Styela clava: one gene and its partner. The protein of the gene in region 1 purifies or fractionates together with the protein of each later gene. This does not show direct contact. Links are inferred from orthologs where the notes say so. Each region holds a gene or a part of one and is shown on either strand. Other genes may lie near its edges.

Region 1 (7,769 bases):
GGGGGTTAAACAAACAGGGGTCCGCGGCCCAAAAAGTTTAGGAAACACTGTAGTATAGTATATAATAATTATGACATAACAATATAGTAGTCCTCTCTCGCCGATGAGTCTCATTGATTTCACCGAACTAGTGAAGTGAGTCGCAAATCAGTGATAAATGGACTGCCCCCATAATAAATAAAAAATATTGTATTGATATTAAATTTAAAAATATATATTAATAATTGCCATACTGCATGACTGGGACATCTAAGTCAACCAGGCGGCAGGACAGCTTGTTCAAATCGGGACAGTCTATTGTTATGCCATGGTATGCCTACTCAAATCCCTTCGGTCTCCCCTACTTTTTCGGTATTTCATTCATCTCTGATATATTAGCGTTTGCCTTATATACCCTGCCACATATCTGATTTGCATACTAATACCTCTTGTTTTCGTCTCGTTTCAAAATTTTTGATGAACCTCTTTGCCCCTTCTATTACTACTAGACTAACCACTTATTACTACCTTCCTACTCCTCCTGTACTCTATCTGCGATTCCCTTGCCTCTTCCCAAACTCTTCTTCTGCACCAACCCTATTCACACTGTACCCTTCTAAATCCCACCTGGTCTTCAGCATTTTAACAGCCTCTAATCTAACCCATTAACATCCACACCCTTCTCGTCCACCTGTAATCAACCCCATATTTACCCGCTTGACATCCCCGGACCATCGCAACTTATAACGCTAACCATCCTTTTTCGAAGAAAAGTTGAGGTTTAATTGCTGGAAAATATGCCAACGAGTTCAATGGTGCAAACGAAGAAAAAACATAATTAGTCGAAACTGGTCACTACCTGCCCATCACGAACTGTTAAGCCATCAATAATCACCATAGCCGTCAGTTTACTTTACAGGATCAATATTGTTTTCATTCATTATTTGAAATCGTCATGTAGGTTACATAAAATACTCAATTTTTGTACGAACCAGGTAGATGTCTGAAGTTAGTTATTTTCCCCATCGACAAAAACTGTTGCATGACCCTGCTTCAATTGATTTGATACCATGTGCGTAGCTTCGATATAAGTTTCATTGAGGTGAAAAATCTTAAAAACTCGAGACTGGAGTGGAAAGTAGTAAGTATTCCATTTTGATCCCGTGTAGCATCAACATTGGGAAATGGTAATGGAGAAGATGAAAAAATGCTAACGTTCAGAAAGAAAAAAAACTTCTTACTCTATTCATTACAAAAACTGGTTGGTATGTTGCTTGTCTAATAATAAAGACACTATTGTTCAAACCTCTTGGATAACGCATATTCATTAGTGCTGATTTAAATGATAATGGTCGTTTTACTGCCAACCCACTTGAGTAGCAACCAAAAAATGGTATCAATAAAAAATTTACCATGATGAACAGAAGGGAATTTGTTCCCAAGTGCCCTTAGGATTTCTGAAGTTTCACTAGGTCTGTGGTAGGTCCCTTGGCTGAAATTTAAATTTTGTTTGCTAATATATCTTTTGAATCATGGCTGTTAGATGTTTTTCACGTTCCGGTATGTCCCCCGTTACTCATAAATAGACACACAAGGATTTGTTTGGTCATTGACACTTTACTGTATTGTTTATATTGAAACTTAAGTTGAGAATCAACCCTATTAGCCTCCAAGCAGACTTAATGTATTCATATGTAAATTGTATTGCTGGTTGTTTAACTATCGATTAGATAGTTTAACTGCCGAAGCCTCGCTCATCAATAATCAGAGTGCTCCAACAATCAAGTTAGCCTACTAAAACTTGCTAATGTTCATTTAGATATTTGAACCTTGGGTCAATATTATTCGTCTTACTATTGCATGTTAATTTTTTTACTGGATGGAAAAATAAACTTGACTATGACTAATCTCAAGCAATCTTGATATTCCGGATATTCAAAATCACTCATTTAACATCTGCTTTTCTTTCATCCTAACCACAAATGCAGCTTCAAACAATTCAAGCACATCTAAATTGAAATAATATTGATCTCGTAATGCAAAATAACGATTGCGGTGGACATTAATAGTCCACCGGGCCATTTACATATTTATCCCAGAGGAGAGGGGAGCCGATCCGTGCCCTCTCGTCCGTATACCAGTCCGTGTCGTGGATGGGATTAGGTAAACCTATAAATTTACGGTTAAACCGTTATTTGTTTCAGATACATGGACTCGATGGCGGGGAAAGCCATAACCTTTCGGTAGGAAGAAATGTTAAGAGGGTGTGGAATAGAGGAGAGGTTTCGCATTTGCCGAAATGTGCGTAGGCAACGTAATATACAGGTAGGCGCAATGCAGGTAGGCGCAAAGAAAGTTTATACAGAGATGTAAGAGAGAAGTGAGTATTTCACAGACGAACTCAACAGAAGGATACGGTAGGAAGAAAGAAGAAGTGGGGCAAGAGAGCAGACATCGATAGAGTTGGGGAGTTAGATGACTTGGCCATGTGGCGTACTGCGGTTCACAAAGCAGCAACTGAAAATTATAGATTTTTTGGAAATAAAATATCCGAATAACGTATTATTATCTTGATCAAATTTGGCATAGAAAAGGAATAGCGAAAGAACCAACAAGTTGTGTTTCGCGTTGGGGAAAGAGCTATAGTACAAAAAAGTTGAAATATATACAACTGATAATTATCTAAGACAGGCTGTAGCTAGAGATGGCAATGGCGTGACATGATTCCACGATAACAAGTCTTCTATTCCGACATGGACTAGGAACACACTGTTTATTCTTCATCGCGGCTTTTCAGTTTTTGACATTTTTTTTTAAATATCTATCCATCATGGTAAGAGTCATTAATATAACGTGCGGTACACGGCATGAATAACAATGGTAAAGTACCACTACTGTTTAATCTTCATAACAATAAATTTATGTTATGATATCATAAAACCTCACAACGAGATCCAGGAATTTTAGAGTTCGCGCTGTTGATTCTTATTATCAAACAACAAACTCATCTCAAAGCAAATACTGCTCAGTGAATTTTGATATCTACTTTGTTGAATTTGTTATCATAAATGTGTCAATCAGAAAAATTGAGAAACTACAATTTGACACGTAACACCTAAATGATGATCACGGAATACTGCGGTAGCCCTTTCGTGACTTCTCTCGTGTTACGGGCTGCAGGCGGTGGATACGGTCAAAGCTTATATATATATATATATATCGTATCCTATATTTGACTGTGAAATTGAAAATACCCAACTGCTCAACTTCGAACTGCGTCAGAAGACCAAACGCCATACGACTGCTGCGCGGACATTGTTCAGCGCCAAGGCGATGTGTCGCAATATGTATCAACTCTTTTGATATGATCAAAAATGCACAGAGTTGCGTTTGTGGCCAAATCTATCGCAGTTGATAGGGTTTACTCAGGGTTTACTTCACTCTACATTTCGTCGTATATATGAATAGCTCGTGAATTGGCGAGAAAAATCCGACTTCGTTCCAGCCGCTATAACCAACAGTCGGTTTATGTTATTGTTGCTGTTAAATTTAATAAATTGCGCTCTGGAAATTTCATTCTTTGAACGTCTGAACGGGGTGAACGAAGTTTAGATTTAGGATTAAATTTGAAATTGTTATAAAATAGTAACGTCTTGGACCGTAGTAGTATATACAGTATTTACGACTGAATGCGTGAAATCGGATATCGTATATTCTTTTGACGCCGGACTACGCATTCAGTTCAGACATTTGAAGTACAGTGAGACCTCTGCGACAGGTACCGTACCGTACCGCTGTACCCAAAGTGACTATAACCACTTATAGTCACTTTGGCTGTACCGTAGTTAACTAACTGGCGTGAGCGTGGGATTTCTTCGGTTCTTTGGTATGCGATATCCCGGTATCAACTTTGATCTATGTGTTATTAGGGTAAGGTTTTTATGGAATATATTTTTTCCACTGTACTGAAGTATGTCTGTATGTAGATGTTCCTTAAAATGTAATCCTATCCTATGTTGTGTTCTGCCAGCTGCCCACGGTCAGACGGTGCCGGAATACAGGAATAATTAATAATAAAAGTTTAAGAAAATATTCTTGCTTTGAAAACCCATACCGGTACCATACCTGACATGGTACCGGTACTGCAATAATTTCCCAGGGAATGCAGTATTTCCGAAGGAAAAAAGTAAATTTGAGGTTTAAAAATATGATACGGTACCTACCGGTACATTTTCTCACTGTCTTATATTTCTAAAACGGTAGAATCAAATATTTTAATGAAGTTTAAACTTCAAGGTTGGTAATACAGTAATAGTATTTTCCTGACATATGAGTAGGCCTATGACCACATACAGAAACTGAGAAATAGACTATACCGTAACTCATTTTCTTCATAATATCTGATTTCTGAATTTAACTTACATATTCCAAGTTTAAGTTAAATCTGCATCCTTAATTTTCTAAAGGTATTAGTTTAATTAGCACTACTAAAATTAAGTATTCCAGTCTTCATAAAATGATTCTTCAACTTACACAATAGAATCTAAGCAAGTGTTTACCTCCTATCCTACATAGTCTTCACTCTATCCAACAAAAATCAATATGGAAATGCCGATGGATCACACAATGCCAATGGCTCATAATTCAACCATGATGCATGATCATGATCATGACATGGGAAACTCAACAATGGATCACAGTGATCATGGCACAGACCATGATTCTCACTCGGTATGATTCTTGATATTTTTTAAAATATATTTTAAAGTAGCTAACTAATTCTCGTATTGTTATTTAGTACAGTATATTGGCTATACAAGAATATCTAACAACCGTAATGTATGAATAGATTCAAGAATATCATTATTTGTCACAATATTTTAATGTGGAACATTTTTTAAATATTTCCATAGAAAAACTGCCCAGTTGAGTTTTGACCAATAAGTCCCGACAGTCAGGGTGGTTCAATTCAACTCCTGTTAACTTTAGAATTTCGAAAATTGATCAAAATGACTATTTCATCACTTTTCATCCAATCTCTTTGATTTTACAATGATATGTTCCTGTTGATCATGTTTAGAATTCCATATTATAAGTAAATCATTATTCATTGAATTGTTTCAAGATGCATTCAGAACATTTAATTACTAAGTATTACGTATTCCTGGATACATACAGGATGTCCACAAAATACTGGTAGCTTGTAGTTATTTATCATACAATAAAATATTTTCAAACTTACGATTGTTATTACTATAAAATAGAGTGAATTTTGAATTGCTATCACTATAAAATCAGGCAAAATTTTCTGTATAAAAGACAGTTTTCATGAGTGGACTACACCACAATTCAGGTTTATTTTATTTTTACCTATCGAAGGCCTCTTGATGCCCCCAATTATTTCAAACCCATTCCACCATCTCAAATTGTGTAGGCAAGGCTGAATCTGAAAAATTCCTGCACTTTTTAAAAATGGTAGCATCTTGCGTATCAGTGAATGCTTATACAGAGCATTGAAAGGGTTGAGAATGCAAGTCTAATCTGCTCTGTACAATAAACAAAGAATGCCAATATTAGGCTTGGGCCAATTGATTGCTAGCTACAGTCAAGGCATGGGCCATCCAATAAAGAATTTTGTGATATATATTGTTTATACTCCTGGTTGCTAATTGTGCCAACTGTCAAGACCAGACCATATCAATGTTCTTTATGGAATTGTGGACTGAATTCAGATATTTAAGTGATTTATGTTATTGCACTGCACTCATTTCATAACATAAGCAATAGATCTTATTTTGTTTCATAAATTTTTTGTTATTGCTGAGATGTTTTTAATGAAAAAGCACTCTGTTTAAAGAGTTAGTGCTTTTCTTATAATTTTGTCCCTTTTATAATATTATGCATAAAATGATCAATATTTGCTCAATAAATTTCAAAGTCTAGCGAATCGTTTGACTCGTAGTTTTATCACATTTTTGTCGTTTTATTGCAACAAGCTTTGTCTAAATTGAATGAGGTAATTTTTCTATCTACCCATTTTCCTGTTATTGACCACTAAACAAATATTCAATATTATGTGACGCTTTTAATTTCTAGTTCCCTCATTGTAGACAAAAGTTAACACAGTAAAATGAACCGACAAAAAACGTCCTTTTGTTTGGGGTGTGTCTGTTGTCTAACTAAAAGTATATTTTGATTTCTACTTTTATTGTTGGAATTGAGACACTTGAAGATGGAAGATTTTATGCTCAATCACTTTTAGAACAGCAATTGTTTGTTGAAAATATTTTCCCGCATTCTATTGTTGCTTCCACTCACAATATCGAGTGGAAGTTGTTTTGCCTCTTGTTTTATAAAAGTTATTTTAAGCGTGAGAATGATTTTTATATCATTTACATTTTGGGGGTTGTCCAGCACTTTGATTTACATTTTGATATATGTAACGTAAATGGTTCTAGATATATAAGAAAAAAACATAATTCAATATTACATAAAACCCGGTTTGTGCCACATTCATGCCTATTTGGATTAGCCAGATTCATACGGATTTTCTTCAATTACACCCTCAGGGTACACTGCGCTTTCCTTTGCGATTGTATGTAATCCTATTGGACATTAGGTGGCCACTATGCTAAATTGTTGATGTTTTCCTTATTTTTCAAGATGCGAGCTGTATCGGAACTTGTGCATGATGTTGGCTTGCATACAGAAAATGTCTGCTGAATGTATATAGCAGGATTGAACTGTTAGTGTATTAATTTTGAATTGAAAGATCGATTATCTATAATGGTATTATTCAATGATATAAGACAAGCTTTTTGAGCTATTTTTAGAGTATTCATTGTCCAGAGAGAACAAAGGGCATTGCAGTAATATATTGCAAAACTAAACTTACCTCCTGCCAATATTTTTGATTTATTGTTTTAGTAAAATGAAAAAATTATTTGCCTATCACCGGTGACAAAACCTCAATTTGGCTTACTAATAGAAATACTTATTTTATGAAAAGATTTATTTGTGGTTGGGTGTGGTGCACTGTGTTAATTCCCAATGATCTTTAGTTTATGTTGTAGGATTACTTCCGATTACCGTAACAATGATGACTGTATAAACGATATGTAAAATCCATATTTCCAAAAAATCCATCTCTTGAATGTTTATGCATAAACCTCACGATTGTTTCAAATCCGTAACTTCCAGACAACTTTGTGAGAATTTCTTTAACCATAATTACACATGGAATGATAAATATATCTCTAATATCGCTTTCAATTTAACCACACATCACGATTTGATGGCATTGTGAATTTATCGGTAGATTCCACAGCGTGGTTGATTTATATTCTAAAATTTTGATTTAATAATAAACATTTAATTAAAGGCGCTCCAGAAGTGTGTTGTGTACCAATATGGAGGTACCGGTAACTAATTTTGATCGCCTATTTTATATAAAGTTGTGTAAAGGGACTGAGACCTATGGGCAGGGGGTATATTCACTTGGCTAACACAGACAGTATTTTAACTCATAATAGAACTAAAATAAGGAAGATTGGAATATAAGTATGGCCTAACCCTAAGCTGGTACACATACTGCAGGAGTACCCATTTGAGTACTTGTTTATTCACTGAAATTTTGTCGTCACACTGTTTTACAATGCACATAGTTTTTTTTTATTGGTAATTGTACATAAGTTTGAACAATTTGTGATTCATTGTCGTTTATTGACTACACAACACACATACCAATTTTGCTGTCATGCGAGCATTTGTTGTTTATGGATAGCGGTTAC
Region 2 (8,564 bases), on another chromosome or scaffold:
GATGCTTTTCAGAATTTCGAAAAATTATCGTTTTTGAAAGAGCGATTTCTCAAAAACCGCCAATAAAGGCAGCACTACGACACATTCGGAGTAAAGCAGATACCTTATAGATTTGATTTCATTATGTCAGAACAGTAGCAGCACGTTTTGACTTGGCCATATATAATACCAAACATAGCGTGTATTCAAACTTTTATAAACAATGCAGACGTAACATATTTAAAAACGGTTAGGTATTTCAACAAAATCTATGGAGTATCTGCTTTTCTTCGAATGTGTCGTTGTGCTGCCTTTATTGGCGGTTTTGTGGAAATCGCCACTCCAAAAACGGTATGTTCGAGATATTAAACAAAATTACTATGGGGCGTAAGTCATTTTTTTGTTGTTTTATACAATTTGCAACTTATTCCAAGTTTAATGAACGTTCATTATTGGTGTACGTCCAAAAAAAAAGATGTTTGATGAATTATCCAGTAAATTTAGTTAAAATACAAAATCTTTTTACAATATGTTACGTGTACATTGTTTATAAAATTGTAAATACACGTTATATTTGGTATTATATATGGCCAAGTAAAAACGTGCTGCTGTTGTTCTGACATAATGAAATGAAATCTATATGGTATTTTCTTTTCTCCGAATGTGTCGTAGTGCTGCCTTTATTGGCGGTTTTTGAGAAATCGCCCTTTTAAAAACGATATTTTTTCAAAACTTCAAAAAAACACCACAAGAGAGCGTCAAATCATTTTTTGTTATTTTAGGATTCGCCGTCTTATTCCAAGTTTAATGAACATACAGTTTTGATGTATGACCAAGAGAGAAAAGTGTTTGGTGAATTATCCAGTAAATTAAGTTGAAATACCTAGCGTTTTTAAAAATGTTACATCTACATAGTTGACAAAACTGCCTTTATTGGCGGTTTTTGAGAAATCGCCCTTTTAAAAACGATAATTTTTCGAAATTCCGAAAAGGATCCACAAGGAGCGTCAAATCATTTTTTGACATTTTAAGATTTGCACACTAATTCCAAGTTTAATGAACCTACAGTTTTGTTGTATACCCAAGAGAAGAAAGTATTTGATGAATTTTCCAGTAAATTTAGTTGAAATACCAAACCGTTTTTAAATATGTCACATCTACATTTTTTAACAAAATTGAAAATATACGCTATGTTTGGAATTATATATATCGTGGAAATCGCCACTCCAAAAACGGTATGTTCGAGATATTAAACAAAATTACTATGGGGCGTAAGTCATTTTTTTGTTGTTTTATACAATTTGCAACTTTTTCCAAGTTTAATGAACGAATAGTATATATATATGTCCAAGAGAAAAAGAAGTTTGATAAATTATCTAGAAAATTTAGTTGAAATATCAAACCGTTTTTATATATGTTACGTCTGCATTTTTTATAAAAGTCTAAATACACGCTATGTTTGGTATTATATATGACCAAGTCAAAACGTGCTGCTACTGTTCTGACATAATGAAATCAAATCTATAAGGTATCTGCTTTACTCCGAATGTGTCGTAGTGATGCCTTTATTGGCGGTTTTTGAGAAATCGCCTTTTCAAAAACGATAATTTTTTGAAATTTTGAAAATAATCCACAAGAGGACGTAAAATGCTTTTTGGTATTTTATACTTTCCGTAACTTATTCCAAGTTTATTGAACGAATAGTATATATGTATGTCCAAGAGAAAAAAATGTTTGATAAATTATCTAGAAAATTTAGTTGAAATATCAAACCGTTTTTAAATATGTTACGTCTGCATTGTTTATAAAAGTTTGAATATACGCTATGTTTGGTATTATATATGGCCAAGTCAAAACGTGCTGCTACTGTTCTGACATAATGAAATCAAATCTATAAGGTATCTGCTTTACTCCGAATGTGTCGTAGTGATGCCTTTATTGGCGGTTTTTGAGAAATCGCCTTTTCAAAAACGATAATTTTTCGAAATTCCGAAAATAATCCACAAGAGGGCGTCAAATCATTTTTTGGCATTTTAGGATTTGCACAATAATTCCAAGTTTAATGAGCATACAGTTTTGATGTATGACCAAGAGAGAAAAGTGTTTGATGAATTATCCAGTAAATTAAGTTGAAATACCTAACCGTTTTTAAATATGTTACATATACATGGTTGATAAAATTAAAAATTATACGCTATGTTTGGTATTATATATGGCCAACTCAAAACGTGCTGCTACTGTTCTGACTTATTAAAATCGAATCTATAAGGTATCTGCTTCTCTCCAAATGTGTCGTAGTGCTGCCTTTATTGGCGGTTTCCGAGAAATCGCTATTTCAATTACGATAATTTTTTGAAATTTTGAAAAAAATCCACAAGAGGACGTAAAATGCTTTTTGGTATTTTATACTTTCCGCAACTTATTCCAAGTTTAATGAACGTATAGTATATATGTATGTCCAAGAGAAAAATATGTTTGATAAATTATCTAGGAAATTTATTTGAAATACCAAACCGTTTTTAAATATGTTACGTCTGCATTGTTTATAAAAGTTTGAATACACGCTATGTTTGGTATTATATATGGCCAAGTCAAAACGTGCTGCTACTTTTCTGACATAATAAAATAAAATCTATAAGGTATCTGCTTTACTCCGAATGTGTCGTAGTGATGCCTTTATTGGCGGTTTTTGAGAAATCGCCTTTTCAAAAACGATAATTTTTCGAAATTCCGAAAATAATCCACAAGAGGGCCACAAATCATTTTTTGGCATTTTAGGATTTGCACAATAATTCCAAGTTTAATGAACATACAGTTTTGATGTATGACCAAGAGAGAAAAGTGTTTGATGAATTATCCAGTAAATTAAGTTGAAATACCTAACCGTTTTTAAATATGTTACATATACATGGTTGATAAAATTAAAAATTATACGCTATGTTTGGTATTATATATGACCAACTCAAAACGTGCTGCTACTGTTCTGACTTATTAAAATCGAATCTATAAGGTATTTGCTTCTCTCCAAATGTGTCGTAGTGCTGCCTTTATTGGCGGTTTCCGAGAAATCGCTATTTCAATTACGATAATTTTTTGAAATTTTGAAAAAAATCCACAAGAGGACGTAAAATGCTTTTTGGTATTTTATACTTTCCGCAACTTATTCCAAGTTTAATGAACGTATAGTATATATGTATGTCCAAGAAAAAAAGATGTTTGATAAATTATTTAGGAAATTTATTTGAAATACCAAACCGTTTTTAAATATGTTACGTCTGCATTGTTTATAAAAGTTTGAATACACGCTATGTTTGGTATTATATATGGCCAAGTCAAAACGTGCTGCTACTGTTCTGACATAATAAAATCAAATCTATTAGGTATCTGCTTTACTCCGAATGTGTCGTAGTGCTGCCTTTATTGGCGGTTTTTGAGAAATCGCCCTTTTCAAAAACGATAATTTTTCGAAATTCCGAAAAGGATCCACAAGAGGGCGTCAAATCATTTTTTGGCATTTTAACATTTGCACACTAATTCCAAGTTTAATGAACGTACAGTTTTGTTGTATACCCAAAAGAAGAAAGTATTTGATGAATTTTCCAGTAAATTTAGTTGAAATACCAAACCGTTTTTAAATATGTCACATCTACATTTTTTCAATGAAATTAAAAATATACGCTATGTTTGGAATTATATTTGGCCAAGTCAAAACGTGCTGCTACTGTTCTGACATATAAAAATCGAATCGATAGGGTATCTGCTTTTCTTCGAATGTGTCGTAGTGCTGCCTTTATTGGCGGTTTTTGAGAAATTGTCCGTTCGAAAACGATAACTTTGTGAAATTTATCAAAGAATCCACAAGAGGGCGTAAATTTTTTTTCAGTATTTCAGACTTTACTCAACTTATTCTAAGTTTAATGAAGTGCATTATTGTTGTGCGACAAAGAGAAAAATATCTTCTTTGATGAACTATCCAGTAATTTTAATTGAAATACAAAATCAGTTTCAAATTTGTTGTATATACATTGTTTTAAAAATTGAAGAATATACGCTATGTTTAGTATTATATATGGTCAAGTCAAAACGTGCTGAGACTGTTCTGACATATTGAAATCGAATCTTTGAGGTTTCTACTTTTCACCAATGGTGTTGCAATGCTTCCTTTATTGGAGGTTTTCATGAAACGACCATGTTACACGACGAAAATTCAGTCATTTTTATACATCTCTCAAAGAATTATAAAAAAATTTTGTGCACTGTAACAGTCGCTTTAGCTTGTTTACCATATATTAACAATACGAGGAGTGTAGTTAATGATTGTTTTGCTTTAATTGCTATTGTGAAAATAATCAAAATATACACTTTCTTATAAAAATCATTGGGAACATTTAATTTTACGCGTGGGTATTTTCTGCGATTCTGTCAGTCACAATTTCGTGTTTTGCTGCTAGCTTCACAGAGGTTAGCGTGATGGAGGTATTTTTTCAGTCTGGTCAGGTGATTTTCCGTCAGTCGGTTTTCGACATGTTGACATTTGTTTTTTTGTCTGACTTTATCCTTATGCGTTCATTTTTTACTTCATGTATGTCATATGGAATTACAGCCCAGAACAGCAGTACGCTATGTTAACCGTTTTGTGGTCGAAAAAGTTCGTATCGTTGTACCGGTATAGGATAAGAATTACACATTTATCCCGAGGAATTACTAACGTACCTACATACAGACATATTTATTCCGTTACCGGTACGTACGTACGTGGACCGTCTGCGCCACCGAGCTAGAGAAAGACCTGATGGCTGTCGTACACTCCTGCACTCTGACACTACAGTACAGCAGTAGAGTAACGTCCGAACGTTATAGTTCAATATCTGAATATAGTGAATATACCAGATATACTGGTATTAATTAAGATACCTGGTGATAAGATGGTATAACTTGAATTGTATCATGGCAGCATGGGCGTAATGACAGAATGGCAGAATGATTAATTTTTATTTTTTCAGCAACAAAATAACTATAGGAACATCATCTCTAAATTTTTATTTTTTGTTTTTTCCTGAATGACCAGAATTTCAATCACAACATGACTGAATGATAGAAATCAATGTAATCTCAGGTTTCTACACAACAAAGATTTAAAGTATATTTATATACTGTTGGATTATTTCGCTACTGAATTTCCAGGATCTGAAGCATATTGTGCTCCATGTACAATGGGAGGGAAAGATTCAAAACTTTCTATTTTGTCATATGAAGATGCTGCTAACAGAGGTGAGTTCAGCTATTGCATACTGCAGTACTGGCACACTTCAGTACAGCACACTATCCAAATTCCAAGAATTTCCCTCCATTTGGCTCAATAAAACAAACACTCCATGTGTCTCACAAACGAGGGGCGTCTGGGACCACGTCAGATGCTTCATATCGTGCCATGCTTGTCTCAATAAAAATCTAAATTAATCGTGGCCGTCACATGACCAAAATTGCCGTTTTTTGCTAAAAACTCTCGAATGCTACGGTAAATTTTTTTTTCCTTCGGTAAATCAGATTATTTTTTCCCAAGGAATTCAATGATGACGTTACTAGAGTGCGCTTTTTTGTAGTATTTTGCGCAACTTCATTATACTGTATTATTGCCGATATTGAGGGACAACAATGTCCAGACGTCTCCCAAAGAAGGGGTGTCTGATCATCTGTAAAATGGGTTTCTCTGAAACGGGACAATGTCACCCAATTTGTATAGTGTGCCGTACTGCACTTCCATGATGGCCAGTATTTACAGTATTGAACAACGCTTATACCAGAATTTGCTATAATTTGCAGTTAATATATATTTGTTGGGTAAAGGAATTTTTGTGTAATATTTAAAAAAAGAGTAATCTTATTGAATACTGTGCTTGTTATTGTCAACATAAGTATGTAATTATTGCTTTGTATAACACCTAGTGAAAACCTAGTCAAATTGATTACAATTCTTTTTAGTGACTAAAACTGAATTTGCCAGACTGCAGAAAGCTTACAAATCTGCTTGTGGATTTTCGGGTTCCATGACAGAAAATGTTTTAATCAAAGATGTTTTGGGTGACTTTGTGCCTACAAAATTAGCTCAGGTAAACGTGTTTCAAACAATTTTGTGAGATAGGCCTATGGTACATGTATATATATTGTTCATTACTAGGCTCCGATATGGTATATAAATTGCCTCATTATTTCCATGGAAATGAATAGAAATAATCAGTACGACTTCAATGTGCGATTGAAGTAATATTAAAATTCATTTTTTTTAATTTTATATTCAACTTCCATTGTCACATTATAAAGCTTTGTTCATTTTTAGAGATTATTTGCTGTAATGGCATCCAGTTCACGTGGGATGACACAACGTGACATGATCACAACCCTGGTTTTATTGACTCGTGGTAAACAAGAAGAGAGATTGAAATGTAAGTCTGCTTTAATAAAGACTATGTCTATCACTCTATGTCTACTAGAACATCTCTTATGTGAAATCTGTTTTAAGTCGCAATCATTTGTTAGATAGTGTGTGTGAGCATTGAGGATTCTTGGCTTTAGTTGTGGCTAAAATTTTTTCGCAATAAGTGTTTATCAGTCCATTTTGTTGAGCAATATACTATTCACCCATCAGAACACTTAAACAAAAGTATTGGGTGCAATTATTCAATATTGATATTTATGTTAATTTTCAAATTCTTTCTACAGTGATCTATGCAGTTTACGCTGACAACTCTGGTCTCTTCGTTACAAGACGCAGTATGGCTCTCATGGAGACTGCATGTGAGGGTACAGCTCTACCACACGAAGCAGCAGAACTCTTTACAACGGTAATGATCAAGACTTCGGCTATTTTTAAACAATTCATTTTAGACTCAATTTTACTGATCACTCGTGTTATTCATTGCAGACTGACAGAGTTCCAGCTGAAGTATTTTGTGACTGGATTAAAAATCACTCAGACATAACCTCAGTTACAAAATGGCTCTTAAACTCGGGTGGAGTAACTGTCAGTTTGACAGATTCAACAGAGATGGCAAACTTTTATCAGACACTGGCTGGTGTGACTCACTGTGAGTTTGTTGATGAGAAATAGTTAATTCAATGTTATTTTTTATATGATAAATTTTATTAAGTAAACAACTACTTTCAAATATCAGAAATATTGTCAGCTTTATCCAAGGCTGGGTTTGAATATTCCGTGGCATCAAGAGCTGTAGTGATTTCAAACTAGCTCCCCAGCTAAAATATTTCTACTCAAACGGATACAATATGTTTCAATTCATATATGATTCATTATTGGTCATTATTGTATATTCATTCTGGTTTTCATCACAGGAAGTAATTATATAACCGAGATATTATTGTCATTTGACTAAGTTGGATTTTTTAAAAATATTTTTATGTCCTTTACTATAAAGTAAAGGACACAGTATGGAGCAATCTTGCTTGTTAAAATCACTTACCGGTATGTAATATCCTTCTACCACCTCGGCTCAGTAATCAAGTCTAATATTTGGAACTGGCCCACTCAGGAAAGTAATTGCCCACCCCTGTTCTACACTATCTTTGTATAACATTGATCTGGAACACACACACCTATTATAAAAGAAATATAGATTCATGCATAAAGTTCTGAATTTGAATATTTTATCTAAATATCAACATCGTATTTTAATTCCATATTTTTCTCAGTGGAAGAAAGTGACATTATCGATCTGGAGAAACATTACTGGACTTTAAAATCACAATCGAAGACTGGACGTTTTGATCTTCAATTATTCAAATCGATTGTTTGTCCTCCATTGCCAGAGTCTATAGTTAAAGGTCTGTAACAAAGACATGTTTTGCCTGATCATTTATTTAACTCATACACTGTATTTTTATATATCTTTATTGCAAGTTACCGCTCTGAAAATAACAGCCTTGTTTATTAGGGGAGTCACTATATGTTTGTAAGATATGTGGAACGAATAAGTGGAATTAATATTTTTGCCAACGTTTTATTGCAGGACTATTTGATGCATTTGATCAAAATGGAGACAATCACATAGATTTTAAAGAAATATCTTGTGGGGTTTCTGCATGCTGCAGAGGCCCGTTGGCTGAACGGCAGAAATGTAAGTCAAAAATATTTTACGTTGTTCTACCCTCTCCAGTGTCAACCTTCTATGATATATTTCTGTATATTTATATACGGTACCTACCACCATTGTATTGTGAGAACCTACCATACCTTCAATAAAGAGTAATTTTCAATATGCTTATGTTTGATTTGCCATCTGAGTGAAGAAAGCCATTTTCTTGCGTTACAGATGAAAATCATATGAAATTAAATGAATATGAATTATGTGTTGTGTGTCAATAAAATGTGTTTCACTTTCAAATCTTTAAAAGCGTTTTTCCATCATTGTCATCAAAACCCTATGATAACAGTTTGTTGTACTATAATTGAGGGCAAACTAGACTTATTGTTATCCTATGCCATTATTAGTTTTCTTTTCTGTTTTTAATCAATTTCATTCATCATTCATTTTAGTTTGCTTCAAAGTATTTGACAAAGACCAGGATGG

The links.
Region 2: the proteins of high affinity copper uptake protein 1-like (region 1) and ubiquitin carboxyl-terminal hydrolase 32-like purify together in Homo sapiens (co-immunoprecipitation; 3 studies listed by BioGRID and IntAct, with this or other methods). This does not show direct contact. The link is inferred for Styela clava from reciprocal best matches to the Homo sapiens genes SLC31A1 and USP32.

The regions. Positions count from the first base shown.
Region 1 is NC_135254.1:8,937,262-8,945,030, forward strand, and holds the start of high affinity copper uptake protein 1-like, read left to right. Parts: upstream 1-4,430; 5' UTR 4,431-4,581; coding exon 4,582-4,710; intron 4,711-7,769.
Region 2 is NC_135252.1:1,654,713-1,663,276, reverse strand, and holds the start of ubiquitin carboxyl-terminal hydrolase 32-like, read left to right. Parts: upstream 1-5,008; 5' UTR 5,009-5,192; coding exon 5,193-5,250; intron 5,251-5,961; coding exon 5,962-6,089; intron 6,090-6,316; coding exon 6,317-6,422; intron 6,423-6,699; coding exon 6,700-6,821; intron 6,822-6,901; coding exon 6,902-7,064; intron 7,065-7,686; coding exon 7,687-7,818; intron 7,819-8,003; coding exon 8,004-8,111; intron 8,112-8,530; coding exon 8,531-8,564. UniProt on the Homo sapiens protein: Deubiquitinase that can remove conjugated ubiquitin from target proteins, such as RAB7A and LAMTOR1.